Linked DNA regions of Bombyx mori. The protein of the gene in region 2 interacts with the protein of the main gene of each other region in a biochemical or structural test. Links are inferred from orthologs where the notes say so. Each region holds a gene or a part of one and is shown on either strand. Other genes may lie near its edges.

Region 1 (15,380 bases), on a different chromosome or scaffold from region 2:
TGCCAACTACAGAAACTTGTGATAGCAATGAAAATATTAATCTACATCCGACAGAAAATGAGTCGGATGTAGTTAAGACTGTAATCATATCGACAGGCGTACAGCCCATAGTTTTAACTGATGTACTTGAGAGTATAGAACCATTTCCAACGAATAATCAAGGGACGGTTGTAGAAAAAAATTCAGGAACACTACTGAACGCTCTTGCTACGTCAACTCCATACAAATCAGCACAAACTTTGTCAGACCCCGCTCCAATAGTAACTGAGAACAGTGTAAATAGCAACAATTCAGAAAGTATGAATGCTGCAACAGTTTTGGAAACTTCAGGCAGTGAAACGGTTTCCCAAAAGGACGTACCTGACGTTAGGATATTTCTTAAAAGGAAAAGAAAAATCATAAAAAAATAAACATTTTATCACTAAATCATGAACTTTAAAATTTCGAAAGTGTTCAACAATACTCATTGTTATGTATCATTTAAGAACTTGTAATTATGTGACAAAATCTATTATATGTACATAAACTATGAACTTTCTGTTTATGTGGGTAAAGAAGGTATTTATTTGTGTATAAATATTGAACTAGAAACATATTGTTATAAAATTAAGTTGCAATAAAGAAGCACGACGAAGGGAATATATATGTCAAAGTTTTTTTTTATACTAAGTCTTGTTAGATAATTTATACAATTTAACATTTTTTTAAATGCAATCTTTTATACAAACCAAAATGGATGAAACCATTCTGAAATGTAACAACTACTTTAATCACTATAAGAGTGGAACACTTTTGTGTTGCAAATAAACTACACTATATTCAGTTTTTTGCAAAAAACTGAATATAGTGCAGTTCATTCAGTTTTGCAAAAAACTGAATATAGTGTAGTTTATTTGCTCTAGTAAGTTTAGTAGTAATGTTTAGACTACATAGAAACAAGACGGAGTGACAAATTACTGGCAGCTAGTAGTAGAGCTCTAGTATATTTTTTAAGTTTACTATACTATTAGTGATACCACCTTTTCCTGATTCTACCGAAAACATGAGTCATGTGTTCCGATTGTAGAGAGCCCACTAACTCACATTCTCCGTCTTTAGAAGTAGGCAGTTTTTATCCCACTTAATATTATGTGGATACCGTCGTTCGGATATCAGTATTGCAAGGATACCGAAAGCTGTAGCCTACTACTGAGAACTTTATGAAGTGTGTTGAGTTGTGAAGGTTTATCTCACTACGTGCTTTGAGAACATCGTGGAGGCGAGTAGCGTAAAGACTGCATTCCAAAGCCGAAGGTTGAAATCCAATGGCTTCCAAAAACTACATTCGATAGCAGATGGATCGGCCGTTTGTGACCACGAAAACTGCAAGGTGTCCGAAACGACGGAAATATTTACATGAAAATAACAAAGGCGAGAATAAACAGTAAAAATAGTTTTAAATATAGCAGGATCACAATAATTCCTTGTTGCATATTTTTTAACATTAGGCAGTAGTATCCACGTCATTATGGATCCTCCCGATCGATTAACGGTACTTTTAGGTACCACAAGCACCGGTCACCGTCATCGTCGAACCCGTCGCCTGCGACAAAAGGCTCGACGAGCGAACTAACCCATAGACACAGCCCACTGAGTTTCTCGCCGGATCTTCTCAGTGGGTCGCGTTCCCGATCCGGTGGTAGATTCTGCGAAGCACTGCTACTGCTAGGGTCAGTATCAGCATCACTCCGGTTTGAGCCCTGTGAGCTCACCTACTAGTTAAGGTTACGCTGAAATATCCTCTCAAGGCTATCAGCTTAGGTAGGAAAAAAAAGTAGTATTCACGCTGTAGTGTCTATGGGTTGACCTAGACTAGATGAGCGGTAAATCCTGTCCAGTGTCCACGGCCTATCTACGCCAATGAAAAGATAAAAAAATCATTAAAATAACTTCCCTTAACAGTCTTTATTTTTCCTTACAAATAAAACTATGATATTATTTACATGATTAAATATTTATAGTTGGCTTAATTAAATATGTAATGAAAACATCATTTAATTTTCAAAACATTAAAATTTTTAGTAGAAAATACATACAAAACAAATAAAATATATCACATTTTATATGTCATTACTTCAATACTACCGTCCAAAGGAATGTACAGAATATTGTACTAGTGTAAAAAGCGAGCTTGAAATAAAAATGCATAAGAACACATTTACGTCAGTAAGGCGCGGTCTATGTAGGTAGTTAATTATGGTACTGTTCCCTTAGACGACAGAATAATACAAATTATCAGAATCAATTGTTTTAACAAATAATTAAGTACCTAATTTATAACTTTTCAGTTCATTTAGAACATACTACACAAAGTTTTGTTCTTTAGTTGTCTTGACGACCTCAAATTTATAATTAGATTCAGCTGTGATGTCAAATAGTTTAATAATAAAATCAACACATTCTAGTATCTACATTTAAATTTGAAATAAGTAAATATGTACAGGGACATTAACAAAAGCCGAAAACAATGTTCTACTGCTTGAAGGTAAGTTCATATTTCGTTAATCCACGACAAAACATTTAAGGCAGCCGGCGGTCACGGTTCGTTGACCTCGCGTGTCAGCCGATTTTTACTAATATATTGTAAGCTGTGTAATATAATTTTACGCTTACGATTATGTTAATGTTATATTGTAATTATCGCATTTCGTCTTTTGTTTTCGGAATAGATTCCTTTCTATAGAATCTAAGTATACATAGATATACCTCACACAAAATGAATTAAATAAGAACAGTCATTAAGGTTCAATCAAGTACAACACGTCAGTTCCTATTTGCAGTTTTTTTAATTCAATTAACACAGAAAAATAAATAAATATTGGTTTATATTGGAATAAAAATATATGCTATCATTTTTCTTTGAAAAAGAAATATAAAAATGTTTATTGTAAGAATTTTATGCGCTAGTGAATGAATATGCGTCTTGGGAGTCCAGGCTTTGAGGCCGCCAACATAAAAGCGCATAACAGCTCTACTGTATTTACACTTCCTAACAGGTTTCTCTATGAATGCATGAAAAGCTAATTAACGTTAAACCTATACAGTTCTTAACAACAATAACATTAAGTTCAAGGAAGAACATTTTTAGTCAAACAATAAGTACAATTGTTTTGTACATAGTAAAACTGTTGTAGTCAAAATTATAACGATCCATTTCTTTCGTCAGAACGTCAAAAGTTACGACAGCGTAACATTGTCATATCAACTATACGGTGGAATATGCTATTGGCCGTCATTCCTTAGTACTGTCACCAAAACAATCAGCAATCGATACGTTACGTATGGCTACGAGAAACAAAATCACAAATCTCACTGACTTATATACAAGGACGGTCCCGATTTATATCGAGTATCACATCACAGCACTAGTCACTACAGGCCGTTCTCGAAGCTCCTAGTGTTCGATAAAGTCCGAATGATGTTGTTGGCCATCGGGATGTCGTCGTTTCTGGAGGACGACGGCTGAGTGAGGACTGCGGTGGAGGCGGTCCGTTTGCCTATCTTCCTGAGCACGGTGGCGGCGGCGGCGAGGTCGCAGTGGTCGGACAGCGGCGCCACGTGCTGGTAGCACACGGCGGACGCGTGGCCCGACCGCACTGACGTCAGCGGCGTGCCGTTGCACCAGCTGTTCGTGGCCGGGTCGTACACCTCCACTATATCCAGGAACGACGTGCCGTCGTAACCACCTGAACGTGACAAAATCGATAATAGTTGTTAGTGAGGTGGTGGTTAAAAAAAATGCTGGTTTTACTGGTGCTAGGACCTCTTGTGTGTCCGCACGGGTAGGTACCACCACCCTGTGCCTATTACTGCCGTGAAGCAGTAATGCGTTTCGGTTTGAAGGGTGGGGCAGCCGTTGTAATTATATTGAAACCTTAGAACTTGTATCTCAAGGTGGGTGGCGCATTAACATTGTAGATGTCTATGGGCTACAGTAACTACTTACACCAGGTGGGCTGTGAGCTAGTCCACTCTTCTAAGCAATTAAAAAAAAATGCTACCCAATCCCTATGTTCGCGGTGAGACATTTCTTTATTCGCGGATCTTATCGGTAAATCGGTTCATTGATAAAAAGGATTCCAATATAGGTATAGGTATCCAACCGAAAATTCTTTATAAAAGTGGACTAATAAAAAAGTAAAATAGATCTTATTACAACTATGTCTAGTAGGTATGTTGTTAAATTTATATTTTATTTTATTTATTGCTTTGATGGGTGGACCAGCTCACAGCCCACCTGGTGTTAAGATGGTTACTGGAGCCCATAGACTTCTATAACGTAAATGCGCCACCCACCTTGAAATATAAGTTCTAAGGTCTCAGTATAGTTACAACGGCTGCCCCACCCTTCAAACCGGCATTACTGCTTCACGGCAGAAAGAGGCAACCTACTCGCACGGATTTACAAGAGGTCCTACCACCAGTATATGATATTAATATATTCACGGTTTCTGTATTCGCGGCATTTTTACGGACCATGTGCCCCGCGAATAAAGCGCTTTTACTGTAGATATAACTGCAGATGGGCTCCTCACCGCCCTCTAGTGATTACAGCGCGGACTGCACGCGGCGTCACTGCCTATTTCTGCCGTGAAGCAGTAATGCGTTTTGGTTTGAAGGGTGGGGCAGCCGTTGTAACTATACTTCAAGACCTTAGAACTGATATCTTAACATGGGTGTTGTGTTGCATTTACGTCGTAGATGTCTATGGGCTCCAGTAACCACTTAACACCAGATGGGCTGTGAGCTTGTCCATCTAGCAATAACAAAAAAAAAAACAATCTCACCTAAAGCATACAGTTTGTTATCCAGCACGGTGAGCGAGAGTGCGGAGCGCGCTATCTGCACCGGGGCGACAAGTTCCCAGGTATTTTTCTCAGTATGGTAACGTTCCACGGAGGCCAGCTGCTGGGAGCCATCGTAGCCTCCCACCACGTATATGAACTGATTCATTGCTGCCACGCCTGTAACGAAATTAAGCGTTACATTTCATTATCATCAACATAGATTAGTTGAATCGTTTAAAACACTCTAATTTCAATCAGAGGTCTTGGAACTTGGAAAGTGAGAATGAGTTGCTCGCTCCGGGCATTTCAATATTGCAATAATTGTTACGTTATAATACTCATTGTAAAAATGAATATTTAAAATAATAATTTACTATTTAAAAAAAAGACATGCCCGCTGAGTTTCTTGCCAGTTCTTCTCAGGACGGAGGCTAGTTTTTGTGAATTGACGGTAGTTCTTTTTGACGTCCAACAACTATGTACTTTCATTTATGTTGAATAAATTTTTTTTTTATTTGATTTGATTTAAAAAATTACAATAAAGTGTCTGTAAACAAAAATTGGACCAAAATTATTTTATGTGCATACGACTGAATTAGGACTATATCGGTATCATAGCTTATAGACCGAAACTCAAAAACTAAGCAAAAAAAAACTACAAATCCATTATAAATCGTATATAAATTTACAAGTTTTTAGAGAAGCAAACACGCAAAGTCGTAAAGTATCAGTGTTATCATTGACAAGCGAGCAAGCTCTTCTTTATTATGTCTAAATAGACATGGAAACAACAGTTTCCGATAGTTCGAAATTGCCTTGGGTCGGCGCGAAAAGGTCTCTATACGACCATGAACCTGTTTGTAGGCTGCGTAGAAGCTTACAAACATGAATTAAACTTCAGAAGGTCTATTGACAAATCAATGGGAGGAGATGAGCTCACGGGTTCAACCTGAGAGAATTTTCTAACACCAGCCTGAGCAAGAGTAGTGCTTCGCTGGATCTACCATCGGATCGGAATCGCAACCCGTTGAGAAGAACCCGCGAGAAACACAGTGGGCTGTGTCTATGTGTTAATTCGCTCGTCAAACTCATTGTCGTAATCGACGAGGACGGCGACTGGTGCTTGAAGGGCCTAAAGGCACTGAGAGTGAATCCGACAAGACATGTTTCTGGCGACGGCGGCTTTGCGTTGCCCCGTCGCCTGGGTCGGATATGTAATTAGCGGCTACCACCATAAGGGTGTTATTGTGTCGCGCCGCTTTATCGAAGTAGGGCTCTGATGCTACCTTTAGGTACTAACATATCGGTTCTAAATTTAGATCACGTACCACGGTGCTCCGAGGCCTATTCTGTGAAAATGGGATTAGATGACTTGGAGAGAGTTAATGTAAATACGAGACGCGTGAGCGAACTTTACACTTGTGTAAGTCATGACGAAACGTATGCAAGTTTTGTAGAGTGTCACCTAATTACGAAGGGACAATTTATTTGGGGTAGACGCATTAATGGTATAGACAACAGTAAGGACCTGCTCCGCTGCGCGCGACGTGCATGGGCGCGACCTCGGTCCAGCGGTTGTTCTCGGGGTGGTAGCACTCGACGGAGGCCACGCGGCGCGCGCCGTCGAACCCCCCCGCCGCGTACAGCAGCCGGTTGACGACGGCCACGCCCACACCCAGCCGCGCCGTGCTCATGGCCGCCACGCTGCTCCACAGGTCGCGCTCGGGCTCGTAACTGCAACCAATACATTCTATATGTAACTATACTAAGACCTTAGAACTCATTAGCCCAAGGAGTTTCTCGCCGGATCTTTTGAGTGGGTCGCGTTTCCGATCCGGTGCTAGATTCTGCTTTTTTTCTTTTTTTCTTACCTGTGCTGATAGCCTTGAGAGGCTATTTCAGCTTCACCCTAACGTGTGTAGGTGAGCTCACGGGGCTCAAACCGGAGTGTTGCTAACACTGACCCTAGCAAGAGCAGTGCTTCGCAGAATCTACCACCGGATCTAAAACGCGACCCACTGAGAAGATCCGGCGAGAAACTCAGTGGGCTGTGTCTATGGGTTAATTTGCTCGTCGAGCCCTTCGTCGCAAGCGACGGGTTCGACGAGGGCGGTGGCCGGTGCTTGTTGTGCCTAAAAGCACCGTTAATGACGTGTTTAGGGCGACGTCGACTGTTTACCAATTGGTCTACAGGATCGGGTATGTGAGATTACAAACGAACAATATGATCATACAAACATATAATATTTAAAAAAATAGCTAAAACAATAACCAAACATGTTTCCATTATCACATCACATATAAGTAGATAGTGAACAGAGAAGAGAAATTTAGAAATTTAAGTTACAAAAAACAAAAGCAACACAATACGCACATATTATTATGTACAACTCACACTATAAAACTATAATACTCATCGGTATAAATCACCTTATAAATATTCCAAAATAGCTTTTCTATATGCTACAAGTGACAAGTAAAAGATGTCAGCACTAGAGAACTTAGTATCATACAACCTACAAGATCTACGGACAAAAGAGTTCGAAGCATATTTCGTTCGAGCCGTGGACATGTGGAAGGTCTGTTTAGAACGCGCGGAAATACGACTACATTTAAATGAAACTATGTATTGAATTTAAAAAAGCCTTGAGTTACCATTCAACAGTCCTGTGATATTCTGATCCGGCCGAACCTCCTACGGCGTACAAGAGACCGTCCATTACTGCCACACCGACCTGCAAATATAATTGAAAACATTCAATACTTCGTACTATATTGTTCTATGTGGGTATCATTAAATCATATTGTTTTGTTAGTCGGACACTCTTATCAGAACGGTCGTGGTTGCACTGACTAATTATTGTGGAATAGAGTAATTTATTGAATTAACTTAAACTGCTGGTGAGGCATTCGGCAATCCACCACTGGTACAGAACATGATATTTCTACCCAGCCACGCCCACAATGAGTGGCCTCAAGCGTGACCAGTATTGTTGGGCACTCTCAACTATTTAATATACCTGTCAGAGACCCACATGCTGTGTGCTTAGCGCGAGTTTTTTAATTTCTCAATCGCGTAAAGTCAACTCAAATTTGTATGGAGTTGGAACAACGCCCCTAGCGGCAAACATAGGGATTGAGAAGCTAAAAAAATTCGAACTTTTGTTTGTTCTTTTACCTATGCTGATAGCCTTGAGAGGCTAATTCAGCTTCACCCTAGCGTGTACGTGAGCTCACGGGGCTCAAATCGGGAGTGTTGCTAACACTGGCCCTAACAAGAGCGGTGCTTCGCAGAATCTACCACCGGATCAGAAACGCGACCCACGGAAAAGATCCGGCGAGAAACTCAGTGGGCTGTGTCTATGTCGCACTAAGCACGCTAAATGTAAATGTAAAGATTGGGAAAGCCCGTCCGCGAGAAGCTAGAATAGCCCCTTAGACAACCAGAAATAAATATATTGGGAAAGCACCACATCGTCTTTTCGCATTAAGAGTGTACAATTTCAAAAAATATTCCAAATTGAGTTAATATGCGGAATCCTTTGGTATCACCAGTATTTTTCTCATAAATACTGTCAAAAGAGCGTAGTTTAGTTATAGTTTTTTTTTTAGTTTACCTATATTTTGACTACATACTATTAATAAAATTAATACATAATTTTATCTTCCTTTAAAAGACAGATAAAAAAAATAAAAAACAAATGTTGCAAAGATGATTAATATTGTAATATAATAACATATCACATGTTAAACTTTTAAAACAATCTCCTGTAAAATTAGTAAGTTTTGAGATTATACAGTTTTAATGCGAGAAGACGACATTTGTATACATACCCTATGACGCGGCGTTGACATAGGACTACAAGGTCGCCAGTGTTCCGTGGCGGGGTTATACACGTCGACCCAGTCGCTGTCGTAGGACGAGCCCGGTGACGTATTCCGACCACCGACCGCATAGAATAAACCCTGAAATAAATATTTCATATCGAGGGGTGAAAAGCTATTTAAAGATTTAAGCCACATTTCGCCTCAATACGCGACATTTCACTGTGTAATATTTTATTTTTATTGCTTAGATGGATGGACGAGCTCACAGCTCACCTGGTGTTAAGTGTATTAGTAAGTATCTACAACGTTAATGCGCCACCCACCTTGAGATATAAGTTCTAAGGTCTCAAGTATGTTCCAACGACTGCCCCACCCTTCAAACCGAAACGCATTACTGCTTCACGGCAGAAATAGGCAGGGTGGTGGTACCTACCCGCGCGGACTCGTAAGAGGTCCTACCACCAGTAATTACGCAAATTATAATTTTTGCGGGTTTGATTTTTATTACACGATGTTATTCCTTCACTGTGGAAGTCAATCGTGAACATTTGTTGAGTACGTGTTTCATTAGAAAAATTAGTACCCGCCTGAGATTCGAACACTGGTGCATCGCTCAACACAAATGCACCGGACGTCTTATCCTTTAGGCCACGACGACTTCTCTATAATCGTTAAAGATACGTTTTATTTGGTATTATCATCAACAAATCCAATGTTTTTAATTGAATTTCAATTAAGTTTAGTCCATACAAATATCTGAAGAAGTGTTTTGATATTTTTTTCCAAATTTTAAACATTAAATGGCTCTCCTGTAAATTCGCAAAAACGTCGCTTATACCAAACATCCTTTCTCCCGCCGATACCATTAGATGTACTTAACTGCTTTCTTGGTAACCGTTAACGCATTTCAAAACTATTACGGCACGAATTTCCCATACTTTTTTTTTTCTTATTGCCGTATAGGCAGACGAGCATACGGCCCACCTGATGGTGAGTGGTTACCGTCGCTCATGGACGTCAGCAATGCCAGGGGCAGAGCCAAGCCGCTGTCTAACGTAAAATTCATTTTGTACGTTTTACATAAAATTCGTCATTCGAAATACCATTAAGTCAAACAATTTTATCTCTCATCAACCGAATGATCATGGTTCTATACTCTTCGCATATACGAGTGTTACTGTGTTACTTATAATATTTGCTATGTGTATGTGCTATAATTCTCATGTTGTATTTGTTATTTTAGTTATGTGTTATTTGTTCTACACACACTTATCACTTTTTATTATTATTCTCATTATCCTCTCGCAGGTCTGCTGGAAAAGATTTCTCAAAGAAATAAGCAGTGCCTTTGTACATAATTTTCCTATTACTCTGTACTGTGTCTTGTTTTCTGTGTGTACATAAAAAAATAAAAAAATAAATAAAAAAATAAAAAAATAAATAAGTATTTTTATCTACATTTTTATTTAAATCAATTTTGTCAATAACATACATTGTGCATTAGCGCTTTTATACTATCTTGTTCAAATATTTGAGTACTTTATTAATATTTCTCACGATCTCATGCTTAAACGGTAAAAAAGTTATGTATGATAATATTTAGATTAGATTAATGACGTCCGATCAGGCAAGACTTCAACAGAATACAATGTTGGAAAACATCATAAAGGTTACATTTTAATTCTAGTTCATTAAAGTCCTTATAAGACACAATCCTTTTTTTTTCTTTATGGAAATAGTTTTAATTTTATGCCAGTTTCAAGTAAAAACACAATTTTTGACTTATAATATGTTATTAAGTTTGGTATGTGTGTTATAAGGAAACATTTTTTTTTCGAATTTGGAAATAGAATTCAATGCATTATTTATTAAATAACATTTGATAGAGACACCCAGAATTGTATGCTGCAGTTTCTGCGAGTTTTTTTTTTATAGTTCATTTAATAACGGTCGGAGTGTGTGTGTGTGTGTGTGTGTGTGTGTGTGACACCGGAACCAGCCAAGAAAGTTCTTGGAATGACACAAATAAAAATAAATAATACATTTTTTTTATTGCTTAGTTGAGTGGACGAGCTCACAGCCCACCTGGTGTTAAGTGGTTACTGGATGGTAGAAGTGGTTAATATATTAAAAAGTAAAAAAACAAACACTTGAATAATAAACCGAATTTATACTTAATTTTGTCTTTTTTAATCTGTTGATACTGCTGACATAAGAGCGAATTTATAAAATTATTGAACTGTCATTGGTCCTTGTTTTGATGAATCTATAAATTTTAAAGTTAATGGGACGCATTGAAGCAAGTGAGAATAATGTTCAAAAATTCAGTTACATACAAACGTTTCAAACTAATACAGGCGTATAAATATATGAAAATTCAAAATTGTACGGTTTGTCCAAACAACCCTCTGTTGTTAATTGCTTGACTATAACAGCACCGATCTTACTGAAATAATTGATGTAAAATGCATCGGTATGCAATATGATGTGCGCGCTGGCCCGTACAAAAATATATTGTTGTTCTTGAAAATCTTAATATTTAATTGCATGACTATAGCGGCACCGATCTTACTCAAATATTTTTTATTATTCTATATTAAGAAACACTAGCTTCATTCTTAATTTCATTGCGTGATAAGTATCGAGAAGATTGAGAAAATCATTTTCAAAAATCTATAATATATTTACTCTATCAATTTCTTTTTGATTCACGTGGACAACACGTCTTAGTTACGTGATCGAAAATGATTTGTCCTTTTGGCGGAACCATAAATCAAAGATCAACCCATCGAACATGTGTAAAGGTTTTGCAGTCGCATTATTAGTCGGCATTCTCGCGTCTAGGGCAATCGTTCAATAACATAATAATAATATTATCTTGTATGACAACCCAACGTTATCGTCACACGATGATTCTTATATTTTCCATACAGTAAATGAATGAGTTGTGGAAATTACGCCTATTTTTATCTTCAAAATAAATCTTTCCACACTCTGACGTTAATGTTCAACGACTCTCTAATGTAGAGACCAAGGAAAGGACGTAGTTTTGTGCAATAATCACAACAATGAATTTTTGAATTTCGTTGCAATTATTACATACACGTAAATACATCGATATAATAATGACAGCAAATAATGTTGTGAATTTAGTGTTGTGATGAATTATATATATGTATATAGAATCACCAAACTTATTAATGAAAGAATGAATTAAGGTTTTGACTATCTAGCAGAGATGTCGCCAGAACACGTCCCCTTACGACCCTCTTGTAAAAGTTATCTGAGTCTGCCTCCAGATACTCTTGACGTGAATGACAGTTGGATTGTTGTTGACAGTGAATGTTCACGATTGACTTCCACGGTGAAGAAATAACAAATCGTGTAATAAGAATCAAACCTGCAAAATTATAATTTGCGTAATAACTGGTGGTAGGACATCTTGTGAGTCCGCGCGCGTAGGTACCACCCCCCGCCTATTTCTACCGTTTCGGTTTGAAGGGTGGGGCAGCCGTTATAACTATACTTGAGAGCTTAGAACTTATATCTCAAGTTGGGTGGCGCATTTACGTTGTAGATGTCTATGGTCTCCAGTAACCACGTAACTCTAGGTGGGCTGTGAGCTCGTCCACCCATCTAAGGAATAAAAAAAAACTATATAGTGAAATAATAATAATAGTAAAATACTCTTTCACTGTATTACCTTTAAAAACGCCGCTCCGAGTCCCGACCTGGGCACGGTCAGTCGCGGCAGAGTCGTCCAGCAGTTGTCGTCTAGGTTGAACGACTCGAACGTGTCTATCGAGTGCCTGAAGTACCCGCCAGCCACGTATATAATGCGGGGCGTGTTCGGTCTGCGTTCTTTCACGACCGGGTTCTTGTGTAATGTCAGATCCTGTTGAAATAATAATAAAATTTATTGTTAGTTTTATCATACTCATTGGAAAAATGAATATTTAAAAAGATAATCTAATATTTAAAAAAAAAAAGACATGCACGCTGAGTTTCTTGCCAGTTCTTCTCAGGACGGAGGCTAGTTTTATGTGAATTGGCGGTAGTTCTTTTTGACGTTCAACAAATATGTACTTTCATTTATGTTGAATACAAATTGTTTTGATTTGATTTTACTGGTGGTAGGACCTCTTGTGAGTCCGCACGGGTGGGTACCGCCACCCCGCCTATTTCTGCCGTGAAGCAGTAATGCGTTTCGGTTTGAAGGGTGGGGCAGCCGTTGTAACTTAATTGAGACCTTAGAACTTTATCTCAAGGTGGGTGGCGGCATTTACGTTGTAGATGTCTATGTTTTTTGTAATTGAAAAATAATTTAATTATACGTCCACCTGGCGACAAAATATCAGAACAATAGTCCATTGTAAATACGTTTCTACCAGAAAAAAACATTATACATTCAAATTGGTGTGATGTGTCCTCACCTTGAATATCTTAGCTAAGTATTCCCTACAGGCAGGTACTTTCTTTAGAACCGTACACGTGCTCATTTGCTCCTTCAGGAAGCTCGGTGTTAGGTACTGGCATCGGACCGCCTGCAGGATGTGCTCCATCCGGGGATGCCTTCTGTCCTCATCGTATTTTACCTGTAACGTTTAAGATGATATCAATTTTTTTTTTTTTTTTTTTTATTGCCTTTGTAGGCATACGGGCGTACGGCCCACCTGATGGTGAGTGGTTACCGTCGCCCATGGACTTCAGCAATGCCAGGGGCAGAGCCAAGCCGCTGCCTACCGCTGAAAGCCGCTGCCTACCGCTACCAAGCCGCTGCCTACCGCTGCCAAGCCGCTGCCTACCGCTACCAAGCCGCTGCCTACCGCTGCCTACCGCTACCAAGCCGCTGCCTACCGCTACCAAGCCGCTTCATTTATATATATAGATTGTGTTTCAGTTAAGCTGCAATTATGTGTATGCTATAAATAAATTAATAACGTAGCAGCAGACTATGATTGTGGTCGTTGTTTATCACGAATGCACCGGTTCGCAGTATTACCCACGTACATTCATCTTATACATATAAACAACTTGACAATATGAAGTGACGACGTTTTTTGTTTGGACTTTACACACGATAACGTAAAGATATGTGAGACAGTCTGTTTATTACCTTCTAACATTAAAATTAACCTACTATTTGTTTGATGTAAAATGAAACATCACGTTGTAGATAAGATTTATTCGAAAACAATGATAAGACAATTTGTATACATATCTGTAACAATACACATACAATCTGTAACAAACTGCGCTAAGTCTAATCATTGACTAATTAATGACATATCATAATTGAATTAGACTCGAAAACTGCGTAACTTATAAAACTGCGCTTACATGTGGCAAAAAAACAGAAGAGAACCCTCCAGAAGAAACCTTTTTATCTCATTCTCTTTCTCGTTTTTACTTCAACGGTAAAGAGTTCCTTGTTCGATCCGAATTAAAGTCCTATTTGTTAAACAATGAAATTCCATCTTTTTCTTCGTGAATTTCAATATGCCATATCACTAAATAATATGTATAGCCGTTGCGATAAGTTCTACAAGAATGGTTATTTTGTGAAACCTAGAACCTTTCTTTTAATGCCCTTGTAGGCATGCGAGCGTAGGACACATTTGACGGTAAGTAGTTACCGTCTCTTATGGATGTCAGTAATACCAGGGACATAGCGAAGCCGTTGCCTATTGCGAAGTATTCTTCGCAAAGCTCGTTTGAAGAAGAACATGTCGATTCATCTCTACCTAATGGCCGCCCAGAAGAGATCGCCCAGAATAATACTACCCACTCTTATTTTTGTGTTGCAAAATACGCACATGTATAGTCGGATTTTTTATTAGACGAAGTCAAGTGACGTTTACTGTGTTGTCAGTTTTTAATGAAATAAAAATAGTGTTGTAACAAAGTGAACGATTGAAAAAACTCCTGAATTCATGAAATTGCCTCGATTGTCTAGTGAATAGTTAGTGTGCCGAACTGCTGATATCGGGTACGGGGTTCGAATTTTAGTCGTGCTTTGTACATACCAGCGAGTTTTCGACGATTATGTTCCTATAGTATCTGCCTATACTGAATACCGAGTGTTTTAAACATTAAGGAAAACATTGCGAGGAAACTTGTAAGACTGTCCTATTTTCAATACATCATATAGTTGAAACTATAAATGTATAAAATATAACAATTATAGGTAGGTAATGAGAATAAAAAAACTGATTGTAGTTACATACTACTAGTAACATATATTAGAGCACTTTAATACAATTTTATTGTAAAATAGAAATAATATTCTTTTATAGTTTGAAATGATTAACTCTTCACACTCATTGTTCATTCATGTGATTGAACGAGAACTGAACACATCACTATTACTTTAAATATAGCAACATTATTTTACAAAGTGACATTAGCTACTGTCAGCTGGCTTCGTCTAATTAAAAATACGACTATAATGTATTTGTTTTTTATTTTATTTTTTGTCTACAGTAAAGTATAATCAATAGATCAGTCAAGATTAACATGGGAAGGATAATACAAAATCTTGCCTTAAAAAACAAATTAACGGAATATGATTATGCTGGCGAATAGCATGATTACGATTGAAGTTAGTAAGCGCTTTGTACGCGAGCCGTGTAATGTGGCGTACAAATGAAAAAACCTAGCTCGATTGACTAGGTATCCGAATTTGAATTCATCACGATACTCAGAATTGAGGAAACAACTGATTAG
Region 2 (16,120 bases):
TATAAGTTTGCATCCAATACGTACATAACACAGGCTAATAAATTAAAATGTTCCTGGCCTGTGAATAAGACGCCGGTGTACTCGCTCCGAGCGATGCAATCGTGCCGGTGTTCAAACCCCACAGGCAGGTGCACATTTTTCTTATAAAATACGTACTTAATACAGATTCAGATGACATTTCATGATGAAGATCGTGAAATAAAAATGAAACTCGCAATTTTTTTATTTGCATAATTGCATAGCTGGTGGTTCCGGCTTCGTCAGGCCCACCACAGGTGAGTACCACCACTCTCTCTATACTTGTCGCAAAGTAGTAATCTGTTTGAGGTTTAACCGTGACACAACCTTTTTACTATATATTTAAGATTTTAATCCTCATTTCTCAAGGTGGGTAGCGACATTGAGATTCAAGTATGTATAGGTTCCGGCAAAGCAATTATTTATGCAATAAAAACAAAATAAAAATGGATGTAATAACTCACTCTTGCCATGTCGCTATCCATCATGTCCTGGTTCCTCAGCCGGGCGTACTCATCGGCGATGACGTCACACGCCTCCTGACTCAGTTTCGGCTTCATGAGTCGAGCCAGGTCTATGTACTTCCGCATGAACTTGGTGCTAAAGATCTGATCTTTCTTGCTGCGAGTGTTGCCGTGGAGCAGAGGATCGTATTTCTCGTAAATGGATTCGGCTGTATCCTTGGAAGACAAATATGGAACATGGATTATTTCAGGGTTTTACAATATATATGTATATATTTATGTAGTTTTATTTTTGTCCAATTCGTATAGGGAAGAAAAACCGCTTGGGTTAACGTTTACCAAGGCAACTATATAGTAGTTTTTTTCTATTAAAACTAACTACTGGAAAGTGTTGTGGTTGATAATACATATAGATAGATAATTCATGAGTAATTATGCAGCATCATCTGGCCCTAAACTTGGATCCCCTGCACTGTAAGAACCAACAATACAATAATGCAGGTTTTATCAGACACTTTCATTCAAAATTAATTGGAACAAATGCCGTGGTTGAAAATAATTATACACCTTGCAAATACATACATCAACTTCATCATTGTCAGGGTTCTCGGTGGAAAGCATTTCGACTAGTGATCCCATCGGTAATACTTCTCCGTCTTGTTCCTTTGGATTTCTATGCAACAATAATAAAAAAATGAGTATTAAAACAAATGTATGAGGCTTCTTTGTGCTTCTGAGATTAATATTCAATCGCACACAAACTATAACCTTGGAGAAAATACCTTCTGCTTTAGAAAAGAAAATTTTAAAACCATCTATAGAGAGACAAAGTCATCGTGGTCTGAAGGATAAGACTCGCGGTTCATATCGAGCGATACGACTATCCAGTGTTCGAATCCCGCAGGCGGGGTACCAATTTTTTCTTCTTCTTATTCTTAGTTTACACACATTCACGAAAATTTTTATATAAACTAATAACCTCATGTAATAAATACAGACTTGTAAAAATTGTAATTTAATGAAATAATTAAGACGGGTATCAAGATGGGTAGCGGCATCCAGTTTGCGATGCGTATAAACTCCGTTAGAGTTAAAAATAAGGCTGGTCGTGAAATATTTAAATGGATTCACCGGTTTACCAAAAAAGGGGTAGCATAATGTGGAAATGAGATGGTCGCTCTAAAGCTTTTCATGTTATTAGATACATTAAATTTATTATTTGTTTGTATTTATAATAACAATTGATTGATTAAAGTATTTTTAAGAGAACAAAGAACATAAAATGAGCACGATGAGTTTGTTTCAACACTTCTTCTCGGAACAATCAATAAGTATGTTTTAATGCCATTTAAGCTAAGCATATAAATAGGCAAAGATAAAACAATTAATCATTTCTCAAAGAGCAATTGAGCGGATGGAGAAGTATGAAATTTCGCACACTTACAGAGAATATAGAGGAGTGCAGAATGTGAATATTATTTTAAATAACACTACCATGTATTCGACATACACAACATATATATACTCCTTGTTTATTGTCAAACTTTTGTTATTGTTTAAAGACTGTGGTCAAATTGAGAATAGATTAATATTATTTATATTTATTAATATTTGTCTTTAGTGGAGCCTTGACCAAATCTGTGGTTATAGAATTAAAGTCTTTGACAATAGAACCATAATAATGTTTAAACTTATAATTTCAATTAATAATTATCGTTGAATTTCGATTACTGCGGGGAACACTAGTTCATAAAAAAACATGTAATTTTTCCTTGAATAAGTTACAGCAAGGGGCATGCAGCATTATACACAAAATGAATCTAAATCATGAGGTCTCATATTATGGTCAAATTTTAATGATTGGGCAACAGTATCGACCGTCGGCTGCTCACGAGAGAACGGTATGTATGGAGACGCATACTGACCTATATCTGTGCATCCTAAGAACGTGTTCAGAGATCATATTATCTTGGTCGGCGTCGGCGATGTCCAGCATCACAAATAGCAAGTCGAAACGCGACAACAACGAGTCTTGCAGGCCGATGTTCTCCATGGGCGTTTTGTACTGATCATACTGGAAAATAAATTTGAAGAATTATCGATACGATAAAATATTGTTATTTTAGGGTTACATAAGCTCGTAAATGTATATATGTAAGGAATTTGTGTATGTATATGTATGTATGTGTGTTTATGTGTATATGCGTTATATATCAATAGATTGGTACACCGCGTGAAATTCGTTTCCAAATGATTCTTTTCCACCTGATAGTTGTCTGGAAGAGATCTTTCTTATCGATACGACCGAAAATTGTACTATTTTTTTTGTATTTAATGTTTGCATTGTTTTTTTGTTGGTGTACAAGAATGCTCTCTCTCTCTCTATCTCTCTTTATCTATCTCTCTCTCTCTCTCTCGTATTTATTTTACACCATCCTATAATCCTATGATCGTGCTAGTTCTACTAATGATAAATGCTACCACCGATACGTTGTCATAGAGTGGGAGGCCGTATGTCTGTGGGGTCAGCATACCCTGCCGAGCACGGGGTTGGCGGCGGCCAGCACGGAGCAGCGCGCGTTGAGCGAGGCGTGCACGCCGGCCTTGGCGATGGTGACGCGGCCCTGCTCCATGACCTCGTGGATGGCGGTGCGGTCGATGTCCGACATCTTGTCGAACTCGTCGATGCACACCACGCCGCGGTCCGCCAGCACCATCGCGCCCGCTTCCAGCCTGCAACATAGCATGAGATTCCGTCGCTGATAACTCTATTCTGACCACAAAGCGATCTGGTGTCAGGGACCGGCTCTTTGACTTTTTGGCGGGAACGCGAGGAGTGAAGTTGTATGATTTGTTTTATTTTTGTCTATTTAGTGTTTCTTCAGGTTTAAATGTGTAATAACGGTGGTTTATTAAGTGTTTAGTATCTGTGAAAGTGCACAAATGTGGGAAAATGAAACAAAGCCGCTGGACGTAATTTCTCGGGATCCTCCAAAAAGCGCACTGAAAAAATCTCAGTAAATGACCACCATTTTACTGAAATTATATTTCATCCCATATCATCTCATCTCATTTCATTTAATTTCATCCCAGTTGACTATCGTCTCAAATTAATCATCTCCATTTCATTTCATATTATCATTTTTCATAAAAATAAGAATATAAATTAAAATAAGACATGACTTAAAGGTCTTAGTTACCAGGTCATAAAATCCTTTAAAAAAAATCTTTGATAAATACACCGATAATTTAAATACATGATAGATGATTTATTTATTTTGTACGACACATCTGATACAACTGGAATGGTTTATATCTATTACTTATTGATCTTACCTTTAAGAGGGTCACAATCCAAAATAGTTGATGGTGACTGGAAAGGTAGATGGTAAACGTCCCAGAGGACGCAGTCCGACGAGATGGTCGGACCAAATACAATCTTCTCTAAACATCAACTTCCACAATACCCTTCATGAAGCTAAGGATCCCAGCACATGGAGGGAAATCGTACGGGAGAAGCGGATGCAGCGGGGAAGTCACGACCCTCAGTAATAAAGAAAACGATGCGAGGAGGGAGGTCTTAACGTTCCAACAACCGAACACATGAGAACATGCTTCGTAAATGTGTCACCCATCTTGAGATATAAATTCTAAGGTCTTAATATAGTTACAACGGCTGCCACACCCTTCAAATCGAAACGCATTACTGAAACATTAAATTTGTTGAATACGTATTTCATTAGAAAAATTGGTACCCGCCTGCGGGATTCGAACACCGGTGCATCGCTCAACACGAATGCACCGGACGTCTTATCCTTTAGGCCACGACGACTTAAAAATATAGTATCGTTATGTGTCTGTGCCCACCTCCGGTCGCCTGTCTCCGGGTCCGTGGTGACGGCAGCCGTGAGCCCGACGCCGGACGAGCCGCGGCCGGTGGTGGTGATGGCGCGCGGCGCGGTCTGCACCACGTAGCGGAGCAGCTGGGACTTCGCCACTGATGGGTCGCCGATTAGCAGAACGTTGATGTCTCTGTAAACGAAAAACAACCGTAATGTTTTAGTACTAAATGACAGCTTTTAATTTGTGGCGGTAGCCATCATACAACACAAGATATTTGACAGATGCGTAAATCTGGCTTGCGACATTCTCAAGATAAGCTCGCATATATACAAGATCCAAACAACAAGATCTTCTTTTTGTCGGTATAACTACAAATTAAATATAAGAAGGCACACGAAACCGACCTCCAAGTGGAATGTACCACGCAGAACGCAATCAAAAACAATGGCGTATCCAACAAGCTTGCAAAATACAAAATAAGACAAGGTACGGTTTCATTTTGTAATTTGGGGATCTCTTCCCAAAGTACATGTAGAATCCGATCTTTAAGGAAACTGCATTTTACTATTTAATTCATAATGTCACCCATGATCCTACTTTTCCAAGCTTTCTTCTCGTACTCTTTAAGGTGATTAATCAGTTTTATGTGATTATTTAAGATTTTTTTATTACGATGATTTAAGATTATTTTAAGAGGAAGGAACAATAGGGATTGCATTTTCATCTATTGAATTTGTTATTTTATTAATTGTCCAAACAAATAGACAAAGTAGTGATAAAGTAACAAAATGGCAGTAACACTTCGAAGTATAACAAAGTCCTCGTTATACTTTGCAACATTCTCCCGTAAGTAAGAATTAACTAGTGAAATCGAGGTTTCTCCTTTACAAAAATGCTAACTACTAATACTCATTTATGAAGTAATTAATACAGAACTACCATACTTTAATAGTCCTATGACTAAAACCTTCTCTGAACTGCCAATGGCTGATCACAATTGCAACTCATTCTGATTTAAAAACATGCAAACATATAGGTCACAAGCAAACAAATTCATCCTTTTGTATTCAAACCCACCAATACATACTCACCCTCGCAATCTTGTACCATTTGGCAGTACCTTCTCCATGCCTCCAAGCAATAAGCACAAAATAGCTTTCTTGATATAATCATGACCATGGATTGACGGAGCTAAAGATTTGCTCATAAGTTCAAACATATCAACATTCTTTCTCTTTGCGAGTCTTTTACAGATCTTAACATCTTCCCTGTTTATTGACATGTTCATATTCTTGTTGATTTGTGTTATATTGTTAGCTATAAGGATTGTTCTGAAAAAATATAACATTACTTTAAATTGAATCCTCTATGGACTGGGGTAAATAGACAAATGTAAAATATGAATTCAGTATGTAATATTCAGGAATAAGTATATAATAATGGTTTTAAATGAAGGTACTATTGTTTTATTATTTTGTTTAGTGAATTATAAATTTAAGAAAACATGCTGGTTACCCAAGATGGTTCAGTGTCAATAGCAATCCTTTTTATTAAAAGAAGAACAAATACTTTCTTGAATACCCACACTGTCGGTACCTTTGTGTGTAAAGGACTTTGAGCACTATATACTGGAGTGGTCCTTTAAAATGTACAGCACCAGACACATATTGATGACAATTCAAAAGAAACAAAACCTAATTAAATTCTTATAATGATCCTTTTCAAATGTATATTTCATAGCGGAAGGTAGCGGCTTGGCTCTGCCCCTGGCATTGCTGAAGTCCATGGGCGACGGTAACCACTCACCATCAGGTGGGCCGTATGCTCGTCTGCCTACAAAGGCAATAAAAAAAATGTATATCAAAAGGTAACTTCTCTTCATACCTGAATGTTCCAGCAGTAAAGCTTCCCTGCTTATTGGGCAGGCATCTATAGTTCCCTACAATCTGCACCCGGTCTCCTGGTTTACATTTGTCTACTAGATCATCATCACATATAATATCTACACTTCTTGGCAGTTGCCCAGCTGGTGCCCGTTCGGGCATCTCTTGAACGGTAAGGGTCTGATGATCTTTGTACCGCGAAAGTCCATATTCAGTTTCTAGAGGATTGCCTTCATCATCCTATGAACATACGAGTTACACTATAAATGTTACTCATAAACTTCAGACACAAATGGCAAAATATCACCAACCTGTCTATTTTTACTATGACACAGTTTGAAAGGTGGACCGGACCACACAGCTATTCTACTATTAAACTGAGATTTAGAGCTCATGGCTCAAGGTAGGTGATGATATTTTGTTGATGTCTATGGGCTCCAGGTTAAATCCAGGTGGGCTGTGAGTTTGTCCACCCATTTAAGATATAAAAAGTTAAATTTTTTTGACTACAATTATAGAAGTGCTAATGTATCTATAAATCGTAAGATAACTTTAAAATTAGTAACTTATTATGTCATCCAATATAGCAAAAGAATCAGTTAAAATTATGCTTATCTTTACCTATTTTGAAAACATTTAAAATAAGTTTAGTTCACAGATTCTGATCATAATGTGTCGTGAAAATAAGTAGTCGAAGTAGCAAAATAAATAACAAATGTGTAGTAGCTGTCTACGACAACTGGCAAAATACAGAGAAAATACCACATTGTGCTGAAGTAGTCTACTACTTCAGCACAGAGTAGAAGGTTTTTTTAGAAGGTAGTCTAATGAGATCTTTATATTTCACTAACAATTTCTTGTTATTCTATTCTAATTTTAATTAATGACTAAACTATGGACCTTAGTAGGGTATACAGCAGAGGTGGGAAATGCTTCAAATGAAGTTAGATCGGTATATTTCCTTTCCATCACTTTTTTGGTAACTGGACAATAATGTACACTTCTGACCACCTTAGGACGAACCAATGATACTCTAGTCACTATGCCTTCCACACAGATTAGATTTCCGAGGTACCTGGAAATATTACAACAATTAGATAAGTGTGAGAAAAACAAATAATATTCTCAATCAATTCTAATCTGACTAATATCTAAAGCACAATACATTGTAACTTATCCTGAATCTTTCTTTTATGCAATTTTTTGTAAATAAATCTAGACTCATTTTGTACGTTTGAGCTTATTCAGCTACTTTAGACCTCTGTTTTTGTATATGATCATAAAAAAAACGCTTACAGCTCAAATATTTATGGAAGATTGTAAATTTTCAGTAGTATTCAGCAGTAAATTTCTTGTTCCATCTCCACATGTATAGTATGCACTGAATCTTAAAACTATATAATTATGAAATATTTTTTTCATTGAATCTAGTACTTTTATATATATTCAAACAGATTAATTTTGCACACAGAAAACAAACAAAAATAAATTTTAGGTGAACCCATCACATATCATAAAACAAACTTAGTTTTAACCTTACAAGCTCGTTAATTATAGCACATCTTAAAATTAAAATGACATAATTCAGCAGTAGAACTTTAATAAGCATGTTTATAAGTAATAACCCACCTAGATGTCAAACTTCGGGGTGTAACATGTTTGTTACCAAAACTTCCTGAGAATGCCACAAAAAACTCCTCTTGAATTTTAGCATATGTAGGGTCTATCGAAGACACATATTCTTTTAAAGCCTTTTGGAATGCTATCTGTTCTTCAAAGGCATTCTCTAGTAAATTCTTGGCACGTTCAGGACTTTTACGCCTTAAGTCATTGATGCTGACTAAGAGGCGCTTTGATTTATCTTCTATCATCTGTTTCACTTTTTCCATATAAATTTCTTGATCTTCCTGGACATTTAAAATTAATTTATATATTAACAAATTACAGAGAAGCTGTCAACGTGTCGTAAATTGATTATGATAACTTAGCAATATTGAAATCCACAAAAAATATAAAACAAGAAACGGAAAAAAATAGAATAAATCAGTTTCTTCTATAATTTCAAAGCACTTCACTTATGATTATTTAAAATCATATCTATAAAGATGAGTGCCTCCATTTTTAATGGGACAGGAGGTTGAAATACTTCATTATTTTATTTCAGATATTAAAACTTATTGTAACCAGAAAAAAATTTAAAGCTTTCATTTACTTCAATACCTAATATCAAAAAATAATTAACTCACACCATCGTCAAGAAATTCGAGGTACTCCCTTTGTAAGTCTCTCAAACGTTGATCGAAATCACCTTCCTCCATATTGAACTTAGCTTTAAAAATTGTTATATTTTGTTTCAGTTGTTTTAACACTTAAAGTTAACCAAAATCAAAAAGTCGTTGCGTATTGTTGAATTTATTTTGATTGAGATGAGAGTTGTAGAGTCCAATATTTCTCACGATCACTGCTATGAATAGCGTTAGAATATTATGGTTTATTTCAAACTTTAATAGAAAACTTTAACAATTACACAAATAAAATCTTATCTAAATTATAACTATCACAAAAAGTTAAATCTAAAAAATTTCAGCAGTTGGCGCGATTTCTCGCAAATAGCCAATGCGAACTAGGCTTGTTGAAAAAATATCGATACATCGATATATCGATATAAATTTTTTAAATTATAGTTATTTTTGAGCTTTATTTAATACTTCAATATATATCGATCGATATAAAATTCCAAGTATCGAAAAGGTATAAAAGTCGATATAATAAAACAATGTTTTCAAGACATAGCATAAAAATATAATAATGATAGATGGTAAAAATGACAATGTGTTCGAAGTATATTTCAAATAATGGAATATGGAAAAGAAGGTTACAACATTCCTCCCCATCTACATCTCGTTGATCAGACGGCGGGGTGCCTGTATACGTCGATTACTTCGACGCGCAGCAAATGGCACAGGAGTGGAGACCGGAGCAGGTGAGGAGTATAACTTCGAATGCTGTGAAGGTGAATTTGGAGAAATTTGTACATTTGTAGGTGACTGCGGTGTAGGTAATGGTACTGCTGCTGAATTCTTGTTTTTAGTTAGCCTTTCGTTAATTGTTGTTTCCATTCCAATGTCTGGAGAAGCAGTCGCCGGCAGCATAGAAGAATGCGCCCTTTCATTCCTCGGGGTTTCTGAGGTGGAGGACTCGCGTGGCCTGATGTGATCAGCGTGTCTTCGTTTTTCTAGTCCTCCTGGTGTTGAAACAATATATGAATATTTATGTTTTCGGGATGTAATTACCGCTGGTTCCCATATTTTATCATTGCGTGTTTTAATATATACTTGGTCACTTGGTCGGTAACTCGGTGATGTGGTACGAATGTTTTCTTTTACTTGTAAATACTGCATTAATCTTCTTTTGTCTGGCCGAATGTTGGAAAGTATGCAGTTCAATTGTCGTCCAAACATCATCTCAGCTGGAGATTTACCAGTGGACGAGTGCGGAGTGTTTCTGTATGTAAACAAAAATTCTAATAGTCGGCGCTCGAGATTTGTGTTGTCTACCGATGCCATTCTATTTTTGAATGTTCTGACTAAACGTTGTGCCAGCCCATTTGTCCGAGGATGATATGGAGATGATGTGACATGTAAAATAGATTGTTTTGTGCAATATTCTTTAAATTCATAAGATGTAAATTGAGGTCCATTATCGGATATAATCATTTTTGGTAAGCCAAATGTACAAAATATGTTATCTAATGTAAGACAAAGTGATCTGGTGTTGATGTGTTTCATCGGTCGTATTTCCACCCATTTGGAGAGAGCGTCGCACAATACCAACCAATACGATCCTTCGAACGGTCCAGCAAAGTCGATATGGATTCTCTCCCATACTTCTTCTGGTATGGACCAGGAAAATACAGGAAGTTCAGGATTACAAGGGCGGTTCTGTTGGCATCTGGTACATTTCTTGACAAATAATTCTATGTCTTCGTCAAGGTTAGGCCACCAAACATAGTAACGTGAAAGTGCTTTCATAGCAGAAATGCCAGGATGTCCTCGATGAAGGTATGTAAGAATGGCTTTTCGGAGTGCTGTAGGTATAACGATGCGTCCTTGCCTCACAAGTATCTTATTCTCAACAGATAATTCAGTCCGGTTTCTGTAGAATGGTTTCATTTCTGGATTGTAATCTGATTCTCTCCAGCCGGTTTTTAAATTTTGACAAACTTTTGTGAGTATATGATCCTTTGAAGTTGTTTTCATAAGTAACTGTTCTGATAGATTAAGGTCAGTCATTCGAGTGCTCAAAAGACGTAGATCTATTTTATGTACAAGCCCTTCTGTCTCGGAGGGTTCAGTTTCAGGGTTTGGTAATCTGGAAAGGCAATCAGCTAATGTGTTATTTTCACCTTTCCTGTAGTAAATGTCATATTGATAACTTCCCACTACTAGGGCCCATCTTACCAATCGGTTATTGGCTAGTTTAGGAAGGTTGCGGTGTGCACCCATAATATGTATAAGAGGCTTATGGTCCGTAACTAGATTAAATTTCGTTCCTCTCAAGTACTGATCAAATTTTTTTATACCAAATACTATTGCTAAAGCTTCACGATCAATAACGGAATATTTCATTTCCGCTGGTCGTAGTTTCCTTGAAGCAAAAGCAATTGGTTGTTCTATGTTCGAGTCCTTGTGGAATAATACTGCACCCAATCCCTTGTCGGAAGCGTCACATGCTAAATAAAGGGGACGTTTCTCGTCAAATGCAATTAATGGTTGTGAAGAAGTTATGCATTTCTTTGTATCTTCAAATATTTTTTTTTTTTTCCTACCTAAGCTGATAGCCCTAGCGGCTATTTCAGCGTAGCCTTAACTTTAGTAGGTGAGCTCACGGGGCTCAAACCTGACGATGTTGCTAACACGAACCCTAGCAAGAGTCGTGCTTCGCAGAATCTACCACCGGATCGGAAACGCGACCCACTGAGAAGATCCGGCGAGAAACTCAGTGGGCTGTGTCTGAGAGTTAATTTACTCGTCGAGCCCTTCGTCGCAAGCGACGGGTTCGACGAGAACGGTGACCGGTGCTTGAAGTACCTAAAAGCACCGTTAGTGGATCAGGAGGATCCGAGATGACGTGTTTAGGGCGACGTCGACTGCTTTCCATTCTGTCCGCAGGATCGGGAATGTAGTTACCGGCGGCCACGATGAGAGGGTTCTCGTGTCGTGCCGCTTTATCGAAGTGGCGCATGGACGCCGACTGTAGATACTTACTGATGGACTCTAAGTCCAGGTCGTCATGGAGGTCGACGTTCCTGACGAACCACGGGGCTCCGACGGCTATCCTGCAAAAACGGGATTGAATAATTTGAAAGGATTTTAAGTGTATGCGGGCCGCGTGAGCGAACACTACACTTGCATAGGTCATGACGGGGCGTATGCAAGTTTTGTAGAGTGTCACCTTATTTCTAAGGGACATTTTACTTCGCCTACATATCATCGGGTAGAGACGTCCTAGGATGAAGGCGGCACGATCGCGTACCGTCTTGATGTGGGGGCGGAATGTCATCCTACTGTCGAGGGTGACGCCTAAATATTTGACCTTCGGGGCCCACGGTATGGGCTGGTCGTACATCGTGATTGGGCGAACGGCGGGGGCGGGGTTATTGACGCGCCTAGTCGGGAGAGGGATGCTCAGCGTGGTGTTCGGAGGGCGACCCCTTTTGAAGAGCACCGCTGTGCTTTTCGTGGGGTTAATGTCGATGCGCCACTTCCGGAACCACTGTCCCATGGTGGTAGCTGCGGTCTGAAGTCGTCGATGAAGCAACGCCTTCTTCCTACACGAGTAGTAGATGGCGGTGTCATCGGCGAAGAGCGCCAGATGGGTCTCCGGAGACCGGGGTATATCGTTGATATACAAACTGAATAGTAACGGGGAGAGGGCGGAGCCTTGCGGGACTCCGGCTGTGACGTGACGGGGCCGGGAACGCGTTCCCTCGACTCGATATCGGAACGAACGGTTCGACAAGTAGTCTCGTATGATGAGCACGAGCCTGTCTGGCACTCCCATGTTATACAGTTTGTATATCAAACCGTTGTGCCAGACTTTATCGAACGCCTTCGCTATATCGAAGAAGAGGGCTCCTGTCGGAATGGGTTTCCGCCTGTTCAGCCCTAGTAAGATGTGCTCCGTGAGGCGGTGCACTTGATGGACGCACGAGTGTCTGGCGCGGAATCCAAACTGCTCGTCTATAAGAATTTTATTCGCGGATACGAAGTCCCAGAGGCGTTTACGAAGGAGCCGTTCGTAAAGTTTGCCTATCGCCGGGAGGAGACTGATGGGGCGGTAACTCGCGGTTTCGTTCTTCGGTTTGCCCGGCTTGTGTATGCCGATAACGTCCGCTTCTTTCCACGCCGCGGGAAAGATGCAGTTCGTCATAGCAGCATTTAATATGGTGGCCAACATCGTTATCAGTTGGGCTGGTAACAGTTTAAGCGCGCGGTTGCGGATGCCGTCGGAGCCGGGAGCTTTCCGTGGTTGTAGGCTATCGATCGCCTCCTTGACCTCGGAAGTGGTAATGGGGGGTAACGCGTCCGAGGGCGGCAGGGAAGCTCTGCGCTCGACCTCCCTGTCGACGAACTCGGTGTGTTCGGGGTCCGCGTGTTGAGTGCTGGTGGTGCACTGCTCTTGCAGTGCATCGGCCAGCAACTCTGCCTTGTCATCGTCATCGTAAGCCGGTGATTGGCCTGAGGGGCGTACGAGAGGCGGCATAGTGGCTATAGTTTCGGACTTGAGGGTCCTAGCTAGTTGCCAGTATGCTTGGTGAGTGGGCGCGAGTTCTTCTAAATAACTATCCCAGTTTTCGTTTCGGGCGTCGCTTAAGCGGGATTTGACCTCCCGCTGTAAGCGACGCATCCGAGTCCGGTTTGAATCCGTGGGATATCGATCGTAGGCCCGGATTGCCGCGTTTCTGATTCTAACGAGGTCCCTAAGATCGGGGGAAAGTCTGATGCGGTGGAAGCAGTCCTCCACATCGACTTGTTTCGAAGATCTTATGATCGCCGTCGAGACGTGATCAGTGAAGATGTTTATGGATTCGACGGTATCCTCGGGGGATGGAGTTGAATCCGGGCCGCAAGGGAGGATTGGTGGAGCGGTGTCAGCTAAGCACGTGCCCAGCTTCTTCCAATCCACCATGGTCCTCGTATCTGGTTCGCGGTTGAGTGGGCGACCGAGCTGCATGACGACAGGTCGGTGGTCTGAGTCGAGTTCTGACATTGCCTCGATGGAGCGTAAGCGCAGAGTTACGTTCCTCAGCAGTGCCAGATCTATTGTGCTCGGACGACGCGCGGCGTTGTACGGATAGTACGTGGGGGTCGGGGGGTTGAATATTTCGAATGTGAAGTCGTCTATGAACGCGTCGAGACGCCTACCGTTCACATTTGTGCGATGGCAGTTCCACCTAGTGTGGTGGCAATTTAAATCGCCTGCCAGGATGACCGCGTCCCCCATACCGAACAGTGTCTCGAGGTCACTGCTCAGGAGGGGTTTGTCAGGGGGGAGATAAACGGATGCGATGACGATCGGCTGGTGTCCCGTCAGCGCGATGCGGCACACTGACGCCTCGATATGTAAGAGCGAGGGAGTATCGAGAGGGACGCAGTGCAGGGCCCTCCTATAGTAAATGACAGTCCCGCCCTTGCGGGCGGAGAGTCTGTCATTCCTAACCATGACGTAATTCGCGACTTTGGGGTCGCGACGCGAGGGCTTTAGGAAGGTCTCCTGCACCAGAAGGATGTCGATGAGATTATCGCGGAGAAACTCATATACTTGATCGCGCTGACGCGCGAGTCCGTTAGCATTATAAAATGCTAACTTTATGGAACGCGGTTTTTCCCTACCGTTGCACGCCATTGATTACCGGTAATCAAACCAGCGTGCGCTGGACGGACTCGATGACGTCGATGTACTCGAACGTCGCGTTTAGGCGGTCTTCGGCCGTGACCGCTCTGCGCATGGCGTAGGCGAACGCACGCATGCGGTCGATATTTATCGCGGCGATATAATCGCGCACGATTGAGAATTCGTTAACGACAGGCCGCGCGGGGCCGGGGCGAGGCGCGGGACCGGGCGCGGGGGCGGGGCGCGGCGCGAGCAGGGGCTGGGGTGCCGGTGGCTTTCCTGCCAACGTGAGCGGCAGCGGTTTTGCCCACGCGGAGACGGTGGGCACCGGTGCCGGCACGAAGGCAGGTTTCGGCGCGCGGGGCGCCGAAGTCTTAGGGCCGACGGTTTTTGGAGGCGCGTTGGCCAGACGCTTCCGCGGGGCCTTGGGGCATCCGCGGTAGTTGGCTGTGTGGCCCTGCTTCTGGCAGAGCACACAGCTCGGTGGTTCAGTCGCTGTCTCTTTGACCCGCGAACAGTCGGCTGTCGCGTGGTCGCCGAGGCACTTTACGCACCGCGGGCGCGCGTGGCAGTTGCGCGCGGAGTGGCCGTATAACTGACAGCGGTGGCACTGCCCGGGAGTGCCTTTTTTATATGGGGCCTCGACGGTGACCCCGGATAAGCCGCAAACGGTGCGGAGGCTTGAGGCAATTCGTTTGCCTTCGGCGGTTGGTTCCAGCGCGACGAGAACCATGTTGTATGCGAATTTATCGCGCCCGCTGTGCATACGGTGCACACTTATAATCGGGTACGTTTGCCTAATTAAATCTTCTTTGATTAGCTCGACGTCGAGCTCTTTAGGTACTCCGCGTATTACTACGCGGAGCTCGCGGTCCTCCTGGAGTGCATAGGTGTGGTAGCCTATGCTCTCCTTTCGGAGGTAAGAAGTGAGGGCCCTATGGTCGCCCGGCGTTGCGACTTTAATTTGTATCCCGTGCGCGAGATTACGCGCTTGGGAGTAATTAATTTTGTTGGCCGTAAGGGCCTGGGATACCCGGTTCCACGACGACTTTTCCCGCAAGATGACCGGCGGCGGCGCGGGAATTTTGCGGACGGACGCGGGTTGGGGTCGCGGCGACGGGGTTGCGCGGCGAGGGGAGTCGGGAGAGACCACGACTTTTGGCCGCGACGCGTTCGCGGCCTTGGGTTGTTTCGGCGCCGCGGACGGTTCCACGGCGCGGGCGCGTTTTTTCCCGCGCGTGACGGTTTGGAACCCATCGGAGGTTCCGGGTTCGGGGCTGGCGGCCGACTCGAACTCCATCTCCGACTCGGAGTCGGAGCCGGAGCTCGATGCCGCGCAGGACGCTATCGACGCGGGCGCGGGGGTGGGGGGCGACATCGGCGAGTCTGGGATATTCGCGGCGGCGGCGAGCGGTGCGCGGGACTGAGCTGCTAATTTGGCTTTATGGGCCTTAAATTGAGTCATGATGTCCGGGCAAAACTCCCGGACGAAAAGGACGAACATGGTGGGGTCGTCGTCCGCCATGGTGGTTGTGCCCAGGGGGGGCGTCCCCGGGACTTAAAGCAACTCGCCGAAAGGCGAGTCCCCTGAGTGGGAGTTTAAACCCCCTGCGCTGTACCAGCCAGCAGTGATTTGCAGGGGGGGGATGCCTATGCCGTGAAAACGGCGGTCAGCTGGGATTGGGGTGGAGAGTTTGGGAAGGTGGGGGCCCCACTGGGTTGTGAGTGCCACAACAAGCGGTGATCGCAGTGGGGGTTAGTCTCGAAAGAGACTGTTTTTTTAAAATGATAGATAAATAAAAATAATAATGACAATGGATTGGATGTTTTGGTGATAATATGAAATTGTCGTTTTCGATTGCAGAACTACGAACTCGAATTACGCTTTACTGAATCAAGGTCGCGATGCCAGCGACAGAGCGTCCGGAATGCAAAACAAAGTCGCGATCAAAGCGACAACGACGATGTCGTGCAAACTAGACACACAATCGCGACAGCAGCGACAATTATTCAGGA

The links.
Region 1: the proteins of DNA replication licensing factor Mcm3 (region 2) and kelch-like ECH-associated protein 1B form a complex in vitro, tested with the Homo sapiens proteins (2 studies listed by BioGRID, with this or other methods). The link is inferred for Bombyx mori from reciprocal best matches to the Homo sapiens genes MCM3 and KEAP1.

What each region holds. Positions count from the first base shown.
Region 1 is NC_085128.1:13,249,991-13,265,370, forward strand, and holds the end of kelch-like ECH-associated protein 1B, read right to left. Parts: intron 13,250-15,380; coding exon 13,088-13,249; intron 12,550-13,087; coding exon 12,358-12,549; intron 8,793-12,357; coding exon 8,661-8,792; intron 7,562-8,660; coding exon 7,482-7,561; intron 6,561-7,481; coding exon 6,355-6,560; intron 5,004-6,354; coding exon 4,827-5,003; intron 3,726-4,826; coding exon 3,412-3,725; 3' UTR 1,926-3,411; downstream 1-1,925. Other genes in the region: uncharacterized protein LOC101738570, read left to right, coding at 1-410. UniProt on the Homo sapiens protein: Substrate-specific adapter of a BCR (BTB-CUL3-RBX1) E3 ubiquitin ligase complex that regulates the response to oxidative stress by targeting NFE2L2/NRF2 for ubiquitination.
Region 2 is NC_085112.1:2,197,177-2,213,296, reverse strand, and holds the start of DNA replication licensing factor Mcm3, read right to left. Parts: upstream 8,849-16,120; 5' UTR 8,527-8,848; coding exon 8,455-8,526; intron 8,116-8,454; coding exon 7,838-8,115; intron 7,284-7,837; coding exon 7,109-7,283; intron 6,449-7,108; coding exon 6,210-6,448; intron 5,657-6,209; coding exon 5,417-5,656; intron 4,515-5,416; coding exon 4,350-4,514; intron 3,216-4,349; coding exon 3,017-3,215; intron 2,557-3,016; coding exon 2,408-2,556; intron 1,156-2,407; coding exon 1,065-1,155; intron 699-1,064; coding exon 483-698; intron 1-482. UniProt on the Homo sapiens protein: Acts as a component of the MCM2-7 complex (MCM complex) which is the replicative helicase essential for 'once per cell cycle' DNA replication initiation and elongation in eukaryotic cells.